Linked DNA regions of Alligator mississippiensis. The protein of the gene in region 1 interacts with the protein of each later gene in a biochemical or structural test. Links are inferred from orthologs where the notes say so. Each region holds a gene or a part of one and is shown in the gene's direction. Other genes may lie near its edges.

The links.
Region 2: the proteins of RDX (region 1) and ARHGDIA form a complex in vitro, tested with the Homo sapiens proteins (2 studies listed by BioGRID and IntAct). The link is inferred for Alligator mississippiensis from reciprocal best matches to the Homo sapiens genes RDX and ARHGDIA.

The regions. Positions count from the first base shown.
Region 1 is NC_081824.1:435,470,908-435,479,112, forward strand, and holds the start of RDX (radixin), read left to right. Parts: upstream 1-5,055; 5' UTR 5,056-5,130; coding exon 5,131-5,148; intron 5,149-8,205. UniProt on the Homo sapiens protein: Probably plays a crucial role in the binding of the barbed end of actin filaments to the plasma membrane.
Region 2 is NC_081831.1:492,053-500,044, forward strand, and holds the start of ARHGDIA (rho GDP-dissociation inhibitor 1), read left to right. Parts: upstream 1-4,987; 5' UTR 4,988-5,095; intron 5,096-7,992. Other genes in the region: ALYREF (THO complex subunit 4), read left to right, coding at 136-283, 390-453, 644-818, 4,021-4,035. UniProt on the Homo sapiens protein: Controls Rho proteins homeostasis. Regulates the GDP/GTP exchange reaction of the Rho proteins by inhibiting the dissociation of GDP from them, and the subsequent binding of GTP to them.

The DNA.
Region 1 (8,205 bases):
CTAATTGGCAGAGAGGCATGTACTGTATAATTTAATAGCAATTTCCATAGAAAGTAAATTATAATTTATCATATTATAAATTTAAATATATTATACACTTTATATACAATATGAAAAATTTAGAAATACTAATTAATACTAACCTTAATGGAAACATTTTCACTTCACTGACTGGCACCTTCATTTAGTCTCTCACTAGCACTGTCACGTGATCTGTGGCTGCAGTGATTGTCGCACTGTCTTTGTATTATGGTAAGCATTGGGACATTCTAAAACAGTGTATTATATAAATAATACACTGTTTGCTTGGTTTTTTAGGTTGATTTTGTGGGAAATTGTGGCCAATGTGATATTTCCTGGCAATTTGTAGGTGCCAGTTCTCACAGTTTCTGCAGAACCGCAAATTAACTACACCCCTGCTGATGGTTTACATAATTTAAGTGTGACCTTTCTGCCAGGCCCTGAATGGCAGTTTGCAGAAAGTCAGTAAAAAACATTTTTTTGGGTTGGTGATCCTGCTTGACTGCAGCAATAGCTCTTATTCTGTGTTGCCCCTACCCACCCCACACTCTACTCACCACACACTATGATACCCCTGACTGTACCTTGCACATTACATTTCCAATATTTGATTCTATAGTATATATTGGAGAATGAGATGATAACTTATTTTACATTTTTTCCCCTCACATCTATACGATTGGCATTTCAGTTGTGAATAGAAATGTACTGTTCCAGTTTGATGTCTTTTTCTTGAGGTGCCTCAATCTTCAGATCTCTATTTCAATTGAAAAAGGACAAACAATCAGTCCTGTTCTGGCACTTATGCCTACAGCTTACAAAACATACAAATGTACAAGGAAAGGTATTATTTAATAAAGATACCTATATATGGCACCAGTAACTGAAAGATTGTTCCATTTTAAATCAAGTCCACCTGCCACAACTCAATAATGCAAATATGAAAGTTGGATATATTTCATAATTAGGGGTGTGTCCTATAAGATTACCATTTGCCTACAGTATATAAAAATCAACAGGGGAGATAAACCCATAAGCACATACTTGTAAATCGACAAATGCTTTATCAGCACTCCCCTTATTTTTGTTTCTGCTCCCTCTTTTTGGTGCAATTTGATTTTACTTAATCATGTGTAATACAATCCTGGGTTTGAATTTAGGGAGAAAAGGGAATACTTTGTGCTTAATGTAACAGGGAGTCTATTGACCCTGTTACTAGGAGGGGAAGAGTTAAACTTACTGAGAACCGGAGGTGATGATGTCATCAGGTGACCTCTGGAGGAGGGAGATTTGAACACCTGCAAAGAATTATAAACTAGAGACCTGAAGCAAGTAAGGGAACACCTTGAAAAGGGCACTTCCCCAACAAACACCCCCTGGAAGGGGGTGAGGAATGCGAATTCCACCTGGAAGGTTGAAACAGCCTGTGCGGAGGTGCAGGAGTTCTATAGCTGTGTCGGGACAAGAGGCAGCCCATGCACTGGGGAGATACTTACCTGAATCAGAAAAGCGGTGAGACTCTTCAAGGGACACGGGGATCACAGAAACACTGGCAACGGAAGGTACACTCTGAGAGAAATTAAAGAAAGAATTAGCCAGGGAGGTGAGCTCAGCAGGGAGCCAGTCACCAGACATAGAGACTATACCAAAACAGGACTTGGCTGACCTTGAGCATGAATGTTATCACCTTGTTAGACATTCTGTGAGAAAATAAGAAGTTACCTTATACAGATCGATTGTAAGAACTGCAATTATTTTTGTCTGTTTGTTTATTATATTTATTCTCCCATCAAAGGTGTGGCAAGTAAGTGAACAAGTGAGAGTGATTGCCAGAATATACTTGCTGTAATACTCTAATATGACTGGAGCAATGTTGCTAGTTAGGACATTCTCGTCATTCAAGCCACTTAAGTTATTTTAAAGGCTAAATGATAGGTCACAGCTTGTCACTTAAAGTAACTGGTTTGCAACACTATTTTAACATGAATGCAACATTTTATGCTGTGATTAACCTTCATTGTGCAAAGTAATTGAATTAAGATTTACCTTTTTTTTCCTTCCCTATTCTAACCTAGTCTTGTATTGTTGCAATGTGTTTTGTAAAAACATTCTTTAGAAGTAAAAGATTTATCCTTACTTACCTAAGTATTCACTAGATTGGTGAGGATTCTCATTCCCTGGCAGCCCTGTATTTTATTTAAATAGCCAAATATCCTCTGTTTTATATGCTCTTCACCATACCCATTTAATCACGTCTACCCTCCACTCGGAATTCATTTTAGAAAAACAAAACAAACTTTTTTTTAATCTCAAATTCTTTACCTGTCTAGGTGCTTGAATTTATATATTTCATTTTACAAATCATATGGTGATGGTATGTTAAGGCAGGGGCGGGGAAAATACAGCCTGTGGGCTGTATCCAGCCTACCATGTACTTTCATCCACTCCATGGTCTGTCCCCGCCTCCCCATGAATTGCACCCTGCCCAGCCCTTCTTCCAACAAGGGTGAGAGCAAGGCACCCACATGTACAACCCTCACAACATAACCTATTGGACCTTGCTCGAACCCTCTTGGGCAGAAGGGCTCTGCCCAACCAGCAGAGTGACACTTTTATTTTGAGTTGTTATTATGCTATTCCTTCTATATGCAGTATCTAATTACAAGTTGTGACAAATATTTTTTGTAGTAAAATTAAAATATAATAGATGTTTTACTTCTAGTGTATGATTTGGTTTTTTTTTTTTCTGGTTCTATGATTCCCTCTTAAAAGGAGCATTTGGTGGGAGGCGTAGCAGGGCGGGGGATGCAAGGGGAGGGACTTCTGGTGGCAAAGGTCAGGAGTCATGGGGCAGGACTTATGGTCCCAGTGTGGTGACCAGGTGTCAGGGCATCTGTCAAGAGACCGGGCTACCCATGTGGTCCCTGACAGCTTGCCAAAACTTGTTGAGCCGAAATAATTGTCCACCCTGTGTTAAGGTGAAACTGTCATTGGCTTCAGTGAGGGCGTGGGGGTAGGTGTGGCGTGGAGGGAAATGAGAACCATGATTTCGGCTGTCTTTTTGATACCATCTTCCCTTAATGTTCTAACTCTCATGCTCTGGTAGATGGAATACCAATTTTCACTAGATGTCATGTTTCTAGGGTATAAAAGAGGCAAAGATCTTCAACTCTGTATTCTACTACTGTATGTATCCACACTTGGCTCTGGCACATAAGGGATCTCTTTTACAAGTTCAAGTTCTTCAGCTGGCTTTCTGTGGGTAAGGGTCTATACTTCAATCCAGGGCCAAAACACTTTGCAATTCCAGGCCTCAACTTTTACTGCGCCTTTCTGACCCTGTTCCTTTAGGTATGGCATTACCTGGATGCCTGACTGGATATGGGGTGTGTGGTGGTGCAGTCATACCCCCCCCTTTCACCACTGCAAGTTCTGTTCTCAGCCCCCAGGTGCATGTGCACTGAGCTCTGCTGCTGCCACACCCTGCTTTTCATTGTCCTGGGCCGGCTTCTGTCTAGACCTTGCATAAGGGAGAAGCCTCCCACCATGTAGTATCTATATAGTAAGAGGATATTTTTTGAGGAAACAAGTTTCCCAGCCTCTCCAAGTTTCACTTCTTAGTTACATTACCCCTCATGAAAGAAAGCACCCTCTGTTCTCGTGGTGTGAAGGTAAAGCAAGGAGTCACAGTACCAGTAAGCACAGCCCTGTCCTTTCCATCCATCAGACCTTAGTCTGTGCCCTCCCTGATCTCCTTTAGTCTGATAGCCTCCAGAAGCCAGAGCCTTGTGCTGACATTGTATATACCTCTCATGAAAGATGGTCCTTGGGTCAAAGAAGCAGATCCTGAGCCTGATTTGTGAGGTGGAAGTTCAGCTCTGGAGTAATGGGAACAGTTTCTGAATGTCATGGACTTCCCATCTTAGTATCAGGCTTCTGGTACAGAGCATTGTGGGGAGACTGAAGAATTTCCAGCATGATTAGACCTAGATAATGCCAAGGAATATAAAGTACAGCAGCACCAATTGCAGTTAACACCTCTCAGAAATGTCTTTATTTGTCATCTCCATATGAAGCAAGAATTCTTGTTATGTCAGAAAGGCACAAATTTTATTTGCAGGTTCTTGGTCATTAGCCTTGGTCATAATATGAGAATTGATGCACTTTGCTCTGCACTCCAGATAAGACATGGACACAAGTAACAATTAAAATGTTGTAGATGTCTTTTAAAATGTTTCAAAAGGACAGCTGGATACACGCAACTCTCTGGGTAATGTCATTCGAACCCTCTGCTCCCAATCCTTTCTGCCCCTCCCCTTTGTTGGGGGAGGGTAGAGAGAAATTTGGAGATTTAAGAGCCAACAGCAGGGATTGGGGGGAAAGTTGGTATTCCTAACCTACTTGTCCCCTGCCCCACTCCATTCCCCTCCAACCCCTGCTTGTCTCTCCACTCTACTCTTGCCCCCCCTCTCCCCCTACTTCCTGCTGTCCCTGTGAAGTGAAGGGGAGCAGGGAGCTGAGAGCAGAACATTTGTTCCTTGCAGCCTGCCCTAATGCTGCCTGGCTGGCAGTAGAGGAAGCTGCAACATTGAAATGTTTAGTGACACAGGGATGTACCTGTGTCCACTGGCTGAAATGTTTCCTTTTTAAAGCATTTTTAAGTGTGTTTCATTTGGAAACGTTCATTGTTACTACTATCTGCATCCATAGGTTTCTACCAAAATTATGTTTATTTTGGGATATTCATACCTGAACTAGTATAACAGACTGAAGGGATGAGGGAGTTCCCCATACTTCTGAACTTTCCATTTCAAGAAATTTTTCTATATTAGTTTAGGCCCCTTTTCCCTGCAGGTTAGTGCCTGATTTTCACTTACACTTCTTTATGAAATTACTGAAATGTTCCATTTCATTTTATGACTTGTGGAAGCTTATTATAACCTTTGTGGAGTTGCTTTGAAATATTAAATGAAGTCCTGTGAGGATGTTAAATTTTTACTTTCAGAGTGTGTCTTCATCTGGTCTAGACTGGCGCATACCATCTCATCAAATGAACAAGCGGGGACAACAACATTATTTGGTTGACAGAAGTGCTGTTGAGTGGTATAAATGGACTTTCTCTCCTGGGTATGAAAAAGCCATGTTCAAATAGTTATGAAATTAGGTATGAACAAATTATCAAAATAGAGAGGAGAGGAAGGAAAAATAGGGAGGGTGGACCATTTATTTATATAATGCATCAGAAGCCTAAAAAATGTTGTGCTATAGATAGGTAGTTTTAAAGCTGCAGTGACTGTTTGTAGCAGTAGAACCTTTTGGACTGTAACTAGGGCTTGAATTCTGGGGGAGCTTGGGTGGGCTGAGCTCCCCCATAAGAGACGAGAGCCCCCTTGGCTTGCCTCGGGTGGCCGCGGGTCCTTCTGGTTGCTCCTGCTACAGACTCTCCCCCCCCTCCCCGCCAAGAGTCAGAATGTAATTCAAACCTTGACTGTAACCACAACTGCCAACAGGAATAAAGTAGTAAACTTTTAACAAAGGCATTTTATTCCTTTCCTGTTTAAAAATAAACTGATTTACTTTAAGAAGTGGGGAGTACATTTCCCCTCAGCTTGTACCCTGTTAGCAAAAGTGAACACATAAATGTTAATGCAGTTGGCTGACTGTTTTCCTTTGACCTTTTGTATAAACAGCATAGCTGACGACTATTACAATTAGTGTAATGCATCTAATTGACCTGATAGTGTGTGTGTGTGTGTGTGTGTGTGTGTGTGTGTGTGTTTATCTATTGTAGTTGTAAGATACTGTTACAACACACCTCCCGTACTTGGATCTTTTTAACATTCAGAAACTTTATCCGGATTAGAATATTTGTGCTTATTCAAACAGATCCTGCAAGTTACATATTCAGTTTATGTATTTTCCTTACTTTACTGTCCCTTTAAGGACCGTTTAATTCTTGCAGATGTTGTACGTCATCACCTAATAACTCCTCTGTTTCTATCAGACTGGTGTTGGTTTTTCTTTACACAGAAAATTTCTGTTGTTCCATTGAAGTGTGTTTTTTAAAATTTGCTGAATATATCCTGCTGATGGACCAATAGTTGCATTAGAAAAAAATTGTCCTTTCCATACCTGTGACCTGTGTCCACCTCCCATTCTCCCCTCCCCCATACCAGAAGACACTGATTCTGACTTTACAATAAAAAAATCTCATTTTTCCTCCTATATCCTCTCTGTTACCTCCATCATTTGTTGCTGTTCATTTAAAAAAACCAAACAAACTATATTTCTTGTGTGGCGGAGCACCATCGGAGGGCACTTAGTGGGCTGGTGCAGGCTACAGAGGAGCCTGCATGTTGAGCCTGGGAGATTGCCCCCTGTCACACTTGTCACCTTCCTTTGCCCCACACATTCAGACTGTAACCAAATTTGCTGCTACTTGCATAGCTCTTGCCTGTTTTTGTTAAGACAGACAAATGTTTTTATTCAGGTTCTTGTCTTCTGTCTCATGTACTGTAACCTTATCAACCTGAACCTCCTAAACACCAGCATCTCCTCTCCAGTAAGTCAAAATACAACTACTAAAATTATTTCCTGTTGCTATAATCATATCGTCAATTCTTCAAATACTTTCATTGGCTCCTGCACAATTTCCCTTAATCAAATTCCAGTGGTTTGCATAAACCTTCAGATTGGTTCATATTTTTTTTACTGCTATCTGTTGTCCAGTTTTTTCTTATTAATTGTTTGCATAAGACTTCCAAACCACCAAAAATGCATAGGTGCTTTCTTTTACACTTATACATGGAACTACATTCTTCAGGTAATCCATATGACTGCTAATATCTCCTTCAAATTCCTTATTAGGCCTCAGACCTATTTCAGAAATACTAAAGAAACATTGACATTAAGCCTGTGCAAATAGAGAAGTATTCAGTGCTGATTCAGAGGACAGTGATTTGATTTGGAGATTCAGATCACTGTCTTGAATCGAATCGGCTTTGGAAGATTTGGTGCTGATTCAGAGAGAGTTGGCCTCTGCAAGACACGCTAGGAAATCTGGTTGTTGCACCAGACGACAAGGCTAACCTATTTAACGATTTCTTTGCCTCCATTTTCCTGAGCAGGGACCAGATCAGCCCATTGACCGGGACCCCCTGAGGCCCCGGGGGAGGTGCACCCAGGCCTAGGGTCAGTGAGGATCTAGACAGGGAACTTCTGGAGGGACTAGACGTATTTAAATCAGCAGGTCCTGACAACCTCCACCCCAGAGTGCTGAGGGAATTAGCAGAGGTCATTGCGGGATCTCTGGCACAGCTTTACGAGCACTCGTGGTGCTCTGGTGTGGTGCCAGAGGACTGGAAAAGGGCCAGTGTGGTTCCCATTTTCAAAAAAGGGAGGAAGGAGGACCCAGGAAACTATAGGCCAGTTAGTCTTACCTCGATCCTGGGTAAGCTTTTTGAGACAATTATCCTGGCACATGTCCACGAGGGGCCAGCAGGGGAGGTTATGCTTAGGGACAACCAACACGGGTTGATTAGAGGCAGGTCCTGTCAAACCAGGCTGGTGGCCTTCTATGACCAGGTCACAAAATCTGTAGACGCAGGGGTAGCAGTTGACATAGTCTTTCTGGACTTCAGGAAGGCCTTCGACACTGTCTCTCACCCCACCCTCATTTAAAAAAAACTAGGGGACTCTGGCGTCGACACCTACACAGTCAAATGGGTCGCTTACTGGCTGGAGGGCTGCACCCAGAGAGTGGTGGTGGACGGGTCATTTCAACCTGGAGGGATGTGGGCAGTGGGGTCCCCCAGTGCTCGGTCTTCGGACCCGTACTGTTCAACATCTTCATCAGTTACTTGGACGAGGGGGTAAAAAGCACCCTGTTCAAATTTGCTGATGACACCAAGATGTGGGGGGATGTGAGCACGCTAGAAAGGAGGAATAGGCTGCAATTGGACCTAGAAAGGTTACAGGGGTGGGTGGATGAGAACAGGATGGGTTTCAACACTGACAAGTGCAAGGTGCTGCACCTGGGGAGGAAGAACCAGCAGCATACCTACAGGCTGGGGAACTCCCTTCTTGTCAGTGCAGAGGTAGAAAAGGATCTTGGAATCATTATTGATGCCAAAATGAACACTGGCCGACAGTGTGGGGACGCAGTCAGGAAGGCCAACCACACCT
Region 2 (7,992 bases), on another chromosome or scaffold:
AACTGAACCCCTAAACTGGTGCCACAGCTAGAGATGCCGCCTTCCCCTCCCCTTCTCCGGGTTCTTGTCTCTGGTGTGGAATAGCTTCTCTGCATCTCAGCAAGTGCCAACAGCTCCCCTCTCTCTGTTTTTCAGGAACTCTTTGCAGAGTTTGGGACCTTGAAGAAGGCGGCAGTACATTATGACCGGTCTGGACGCAGTTTAGGGACGGCAGATGTACACTTTGAAAGAAAGGCAGATGCTCTGAAGGCGATGAAGCAGTACAATGGTGTCCCCTTGGATGGTGAGTGTGCCTGGCTCTTTCCAGGGGACACTTGATTCAGTAGGGGAAGGATTTTAGTTGCCAGTGCCACTGGCAGAAATTTGTATTCCGTTTTCCCCTCTCCCAGGGCGCCCCATGAACATCCAACTGGTCACATCACAGATAGACACACAGAGGAGACCAATACAAAGGTGAGATGTTTTGTCTCATGGGGCCTGGGTGACTCGTTCTCTTCATGTGGGCAGTGAATTTGTGTAGCCTGCTTCTGTAGGAAGATGGCTTTGGGCTTCAGGTCTGTCCTTGCAGCACTTTCCTGGTGGTTGGGTTTCCTTGTGGTGGGACTGTGCCATGACTAACAAAACTGCTTTCTCTGCTTCACAGTGTAAACAGAGGTGGCATGACCAGAACCCGTGGGTCAGGATTTGGTGGTGGAGGCAGTAACAGGCGAGGTAGCCGTGGTGGGAACAGAGGGAGAGGCAGAGGAACAGGAAGAAGTTCAAAGCAGCAACTCTCTGCAGAAGAATTAGATGCACAGTTGGATGCTTACAATGCCAGGGTAAGTACAGGTTCCCTGGGTGGAGTTTGTATGTGTACATCAGTCCTCAACAGTCTACAGCTGTTTGCCAGAATGATGGGCCAAATGTGTCTCCTCGAGACTGGTCAGTACCTGGTTCCTGAATTGTCTTATTCAGAAGTAAGAAGTGGCCCTCGGGGACCAGCTTTTCAACAGGCAGAGGCCTGTTTGGGCCAGACTCTCCTGTCAGTGCTGCACATTACTGTCTGTGAAGATCTGGGTCCACTCTTTGTGGGTGAGGGGAAGAGCTGGGGCAAAGAGCTTGACCTAGTGTGACCTGATGCTGAAGGCTAGCAGAGAAGGGCTGCATCATTGGAGGCACATCTGGTGTTGTCCCCCTGCCCCTTCAAATAAAGGGGCCAGCAACCGCACTCAGCAGGGCAGCCTCCACTGACTGAATGAATGCATGCAGTGGAGCTGTCCTAAAGGAGAAAGCAGGCCTATGATTAGACTGGGAAATGTAGGTAATGGATCTAAAGAATTGGGTGCCTGCAGCTAGTCTGTTAACAACAGCTTAGATCAGGGGTGGGCAAAATGCAGCCCGTGGACTGAATCTGGCCTGCCAAGGGATTTTATTCAGTCTGCAGGGGGTCCCTCGGCCCCACCTAGCCCAGATGTGGTGGGCAGCCTGGACTGCAGTGCATGTGGTCAGTCCTGCCACCCCCGGGCATGCAGCAGGGCTGGGGCAGTACAGTGGCTGGACTCTGCTTGCCAGCCAGAGGAGCTGCTGCTGCCACTAAATCTAGGTACCATGATCTGTGCTGCGCCCCCCCGCCCCCCGAGGAGCAAGACGGAGCAGGTGGGAAGGGTCTCCAGGGAGACAGACCCAGGACCCTGTAGGCAGGGTGCACTCTGCTGGACAATGGGATGGGGGTGCAGGGGGCAGTGTCTGGAAGCAGGATGGGTGAGGTCAGGCCCAGGATCATGGGGCCTTACTGGGGGCGGATCGCGGCTTTACCCCCGGCCTCCTGCTCTCTTCCTGCCCACAGCCCCATCCTATTCACTCAGCTGACTGTGGGGGAGACCCTGCCCACTCTGTCTGGTGCCCCCCCAGACCAGTTTAGTAATCTATCACTTGAGGACTCTTGGTGAGCTGTTGTGGGCTAGGGGGTGCTGACCTAGCTTGCAAGAGCTCGCCAAAACTTCCTAGCCCAATTATTTGCCCACCCCTGGCTTAGACTGTGAGGCTTTCAGGCTCCTGTTAACGAGCATGTGGGCATGTGCTATGTGAAAGTCTCCTAGATAAGGGGAAGTGATCGGCAAACTGACTGCCATTTCAGACTCTAGTCCTTGCTAAGAGACACATTGGGAGGTATGTGAAGAACGAAGCAGAGCAAATGTGCCCATTTATCAGAATAAGAGTGACCTGGGCAGGTTTTGTCTAGTACATGCTGGAAAAACTTTTATTAAACCACTTCTAGGCATTTAACAGATAACGAAGACATGAGCAGCAAGTAGCATGATGGGTTTGTACAGGACATCTTGATGGGCAGCTCGATGGCTCTCTTGCAGAACTACAGTGATAGCGGGGGGAAATGGAGTTGGCCAGACCTCATGCGACTTAATTCACAAGCTGGAAGCTTAGCATGGAACAGGCTTAAACTATATTGTAGCAGAGCTAGCTGCTGTGAAAACACTTCCAGTGAGGACCCCTAGGCTTGATCTATGTTGGGACCAGTGTTCGAGAGGAGTGAACAGAGCACTTGAGTTGTTCCTAGGGATGTTTTAAAAGGGCTGGCGGGGTGAGTGACACGGGGCCCTAGGCCTGAGGAGACCAGCTGCCAGAAATGCAGGAGTCAGCACACAGGACTGTCACTGTATGGTCAGTGTGACGTTGGTTTGCATCTGCAAAGCAAGGAGGAAGTAGCAAGGGCCTGGTGTTATTGCAGGTCACGTGCTGAATCTACACCAGCAGCGTGACTGGCTGACAAAGGCTTATTTTACCAGTGCTTCACTAGCAAAGAAAACTACTAAATCGTGCGTGCGCTGAATGCTTGTGGCTGCCGCCAGGCTTGAGCAGCAGTGCTGCGGAGTGCTCTCTCCCAGGCGGTGTTATGAATGTCTGAAACCTAACTGGTTTAATGTCAGTATGTTGCTACTGTCCGTGGTGGTAGAAGTGCCCCCCCACCTGTAACACCTCATCCTTAACGCCTCCTTCTGCATCCTTGGCAGCCAAGAATCCCACCTGCACTACCCAGCTCAACTGCCTCTTGCGCCAGCAGGTGCATGTGGCACAGGCCTGTTTCTTTGACCCCTGTCCTGAGCCGTTTCCTCTACATTGCTCAGGCTGTTCACCCCTTGCTACTGCTTGCTGAGACCTGTTCTCCCATTGCCATGGCAACCTTGCCCTGAAAAACTGCTTACCAGCCTTATGACAGCCCCAACCTGGAGTGCTGGAGCCTGGCTTCTGTCTGCTGCCCCCCCCATGTGCTCTGGGGGGCCATGCCACGAGTAGAGCTGCAGGTACCGGTCGTGGTAGGGGCTGAACTGCGCAACACGGCAGCCAGATTCTCCAGGGCAGTTTCTGCAGTTGTTTGTACTGTGGACACACACCTGCAGGACACAGAAAACTAAGATGGGCACCTGTTAACGTGAAGCTAATACTAAAAACAAGTAATGCAGCATGCCCCGGACTGCCTGCGTGCTTCATAATTCAGGAGGGCTGCTCTCACTACGCACTTCCTGTATCTGAGAAGGGTGGGGTGTGCCTTGCCTTTTAAACATTACTGGGAAGAACAGGATGAAAATAAGAGGGTGACGGAGGAGGAGAGCTGGAGCTGGATTTCGGGGGGGAGGGGGAATAGTACAACCTCTGAGATGTGCTGGGCTTCCCTCTCAGGTGGTGGAAATGAAATGGGGTCTCTTAAAACTAGACAGGGGTGCTGGGAAAGAGGGGAAGGGAGAGCAGGGTCTTGCCCACCTTGGAGAAGTGCACCAGTCAGTTCATTTTTAAAGTGTGCCCAGTTAGGCGGGTTCACACCTAATGCATTTCAGCCAGTTTGACCCTTTCTTCCCATATTGGTATGTTCCAGTGGAAGCAGCTGGCTCTAAACTGATCATGAACGGGACTGAGGCTCTGGCTAAGCTCGGGTTGAACCGGAAAGCTTTGTGCGAGCACGCTCCATAGGTCCTCTTTGCCTTGCCCATGGCACAGCCGAGTAACTGCACTTCACTCTTGTTCTAGATGGACACCAGCTAAAGCAGCGAGCACGTCCCCTGCATGGAAAGGACTCCAGACATCTCATTCCATGCTCTCCGGAGGGAGGGGTGTACGACTGTGGCTACTACTATCAAGGACGGAATTTGTTTTACTTTTATGTTTTGGAATAGGTTTTAAACTCATGTAAAGGTTTTTTTTAATTCTGAAACAGACCTGTTTTGTACCGAGTTATTTTTGGGAAAAATTTTACTGGTTGCCTGTTGGGCGGAGGTGGCTTTTTCACCTTTGCCGTAATAAAATAGAAATGTGTCTAGATCTGTAAATGTTTGCTTCCTGTTGCAGCTGGAGCCGAGGAGCGGAGTCAGCGGGCGGCAGGAGCGTGAGCGGGTGGGAGGTGGTGGGCAGGCCTCTGTCGCATCCCGTGCTGAGGGCCGAGTCCCTTGCCCTCCGGAGGAGGCTACTGTTCTGCCTTGGCTCTTTTCCCCTCCCCAGCGTCAGTGCGAGCTGTGTGCGTGCAGCTGCGGGGGGAGCCGCCCTGCCCTAGCTGCAGGGACACGAGAGTGCAGCGTGTGGCGGGAGGGCCCGGACCCCGCTGCTGCACCAAGCCTGGCTGCGAGGGGCCCAGGAAAGACTTGGTCTTTCAGTGACCCCCCGCCCCCTGCTCGTTTCTCGGGGGGGCCTCGTGTGCCCCTTTCCGCCCCCCGGAGCCCTGCCGGGTGGGGCTGCTCCACGTGCTGCCGCGATCCGTCCCCCCCCCCCCCCGCCTATTTCCCGCCCGGTGACGTCACGGCAGGGGCGGGGCTCGGGCTGCCGCCTCCACTTTATTGCCACAGGCGCTTCCGGTTGCGGACAGCCCGCCATGCTTCTCGCAGGGGCGCTCCCTCCGGCGCCCGAACTCTATGGTCCCTCCCCCAGCGGTCGCATGCCCAGTCCCGTCTGGCCAATCAGCGTCGCGAGCCGGGCCGGAAGTGAGGCACTTGGGGTCGGCCTCATATAACAGGAAGTGACGGGCGTGTCCCGGAAGTGCGAGGGCACGCAGCGGCGGTGGGGCGGATCCGGGCGGCGGTGTCAGTGCAGCTCGGAGCAGCGAACGGGCCGGGTAGGGCGGGGCGGGGCGGGGCTGCGACCTCTCGTGCCCAGGCCCAGGCCCAGGCCCGGGGCCACGGGCGGGGCGGGGCGCCCGGGTCCTGCTCCCGCCAGTGCTGCGGCCTCCGCGCGCGGGGCCTGGGGGCGTCTCCGGGGTCACGGCGGCTCCCGGTCCCGCTCCGCCGCGGGGGCGCGTCTGTGCCGAGGTCTCGCCGGGCCTGCCCCCGGGCGCGGCCCCCCACAAAAGCCGGGCCCGGCGTCGGCGGGTCCGTGCGCCGCTGTCGGCCCGCGGGTGCCTGGGAGCCCCCGGCCCGGCCGCGCTCGCCCCTCGGGCCCCGCTCGCAGCCGCGTGCTCCCGCTCCCCCTGCCCCCGCGGAGGCAGCGGCGTCCCCGGGCCGGCCTCGCAGCCGCTTGCGCCAGAGCGGAGCCCGAGGAGACGGGATGGGCTCGCAGGCCGTTGTCCTCCCTCCCTCCCTCCCTCGCTGGCTGTCTGGCTGGCTGGCAGACCCGAGCGGGGTCGGGCGGCCCTGGCGGCGGGGCTGCCTCTGCTCGGTGCAAGGAGCCCGGCAGAAAGGCTCTGGAGGCGGCAGGCTCCCTCCGTCACAACCGGGTCACGGACGCACACGATGCAGGCGCCGGCGCCTGCTTGCTGCCCCTCCCCGGTGCCAGGCTCGCGGGCGCCCCGGGGCCGACCAGCAAGACCGCGGGGCCCGGCTGCCTCTGTCGTCCGTCCGTCCGTCCGTGGGCTCCTGGGGGTTGCCCCGGTGCCCCCACCCCCTCGCTGCCCGTGCCGCCGGGCCTAGGACTTGAGCAGAGCCCGGGCGCTGTTTCCAGGGCAGGCGTGGGTTGGGACGCTCGGATACTTCCTTTCGTGCCCGTGGCTGGCCGATGGGCTCGATGTCGGAGCTGGCCTGCAGCCCGCTTGGCTGGTCTGGCTCGTCCCCGCGCCGGGCCCAGGACAGCGTGGCCCTTTAGCAAGGTGTCCTGGGGCTGGCTCGAGTCGTCTGTCCCTGAGCGCTTGGCCGGAGGGGCCTCGGCTTCCCACCTCCCCGCTGAGAGCACGCGTGCGCCGGCTGCAGTCCCCAGGGGCTGTCTGCCAGGAGCCTGGGGATCCCGGCTGCAGGGTGCCCGAGCGTGGGTGGGCACAGAGACCCCAGGGGAGTCCGACGGCACTGCTGCTGCAGTCTCTTCGTGCTCCTGAGAGCCACGGGCGGGAGCGGTTTCGTGCTGGGAGGCTCAGGAGCTGCGTTCTGCCTCGGGCGCAGGGTGAGAGTCCTGTCCTGCCCCCTGCTGAGGCTGCGGGGAAGTGCCGGTGAGTCATTTTTCCCCTCTGCTCGAGGGCTGGCTTCCTTGTTGGTGCTGCGATGGCGAGGGCCGAGGCTTGCTGCGGGGAAAGGCATTGCCCCCTTGCCCTTGGGCTCCCTCGCCAGGCTTGCATTGCAAGGAGGGTGCTGAGCAGCTCCGTGGGTTTGCCTGCGAAAGGCCGCTCTGGGTGCATGTAGGGTTTCCTGGGGGCTTTTCCTTGCAGCACTGCTAGCTGTGGGTTGTCATGGTGACAGGTTAAGGAGGGCGTGTGCAGGCTGGGGGAGGTCTGGAGCGGGGAGAATCCCTGCAGCTGCACGTGGTGCGAGATGCCCCCGAGTCTCTTGTGCTGGCGCCTGCAGCTGTTTGCGTTGGCAGGGCTTCCCTTGCGCTGCTCTGCCTTCCCGGGCTGGGAAGGGAGAACCCAGGGCAGCAGCAGGTGCCTGCGGCCTGTGACCCACTGGTCTGGGGAGATCCTGGAGGAGGGTCTCCTGTGCGGCGGAGGTGGGTGCTGCCTGGTGCTGCAGGAGCGGAGCAGCCTGCGGTCACCCGCGCTGGCAGGCAGTAGCACAACTTGGGGCCGCAAGGCCGTGCGGTGTGGGAGCTATTGATCGGGGTGGGAGCCTGCAAAGCGGTGAGGAGCCCAGGCTCTTTGAGGGGGGCGTCTCCATGCATTGGTGCCCCTTGCCCGCATGGCGGCCATTAGCAGGACCTGTGTGCGGAGGTCAGCAGCTAGGGAGGAGCTGTGGTTGTCTATGCCCAGGTCCTGGTGCGTCAGCTGCTGCAGGCGCCACTTTGCTGGAGGTTGCACCGGTGCCCCGCTGCAGCTGGGACGCCTGAGCATGGGCCTCGGGGCCCCTGGTAGCTGGCGCGGTCAGTCTGGGTGGCCTGGCAGTGTGGTCTGCCCAGCTCTGAGCACCAGGAAGCAGAGGCCAAGAGCATGTTGCCACCAGCCCTCTCTGTCCAACTGACCTGGGCTGTACAGGCGCTTCCCCTCAGCGGCTGGAGGAAGAGCCCCGGCCTCGGGGAGGCTTCGTGACAGTCTCCTTCCTGCCTGGTTTGGCGCCTTCCCTGGGGAAGCTGCCAAGGAGCTGTGACTGGGGCGGGGGGGGGCGGCGCGCTGGGACGAGCTGCTGGGCGTGGGCAGGGCAGGGCAGGAGGTGGCAGCGGGAGCCTCTGGGGTGGGTGGGTGGGTGGGCGGGCTGTGCCGAGCCTTGGGCCCCTCTATCCGGCTGGGCACACGTGGCCCCTCCCGGCACCGCCAGCCCAGGCCCGAGTGAGTTCCTTGCCCTCCGCCTGCGTGGTAGCACTCTGCTTCCAGTGCCTCGCCGGGGGGTGGGCAGCCCCCAGGACCCGGCACTGAGGTGTCCTTCCCTGAGCTACAACTTGCTGGGCCTGGAGTTGTCCTCACTGTCAGTGCTGGCAGGGGGCTGCTGGGGCCCGTGGTACCCACAGGAGTCCCAGCCATGTGGAGCGTGGTGCTGGGGGCCACCAGGCTTGCTTTGGAGGGGGCAGTGCTGGGCTGGTGGTTACCTGATGCTGGACGTAAGGGCTTGGCCCTTCATAGGAAGCTGCTCCCCAGTAACGTCCGAAACGTGGCCACACCCA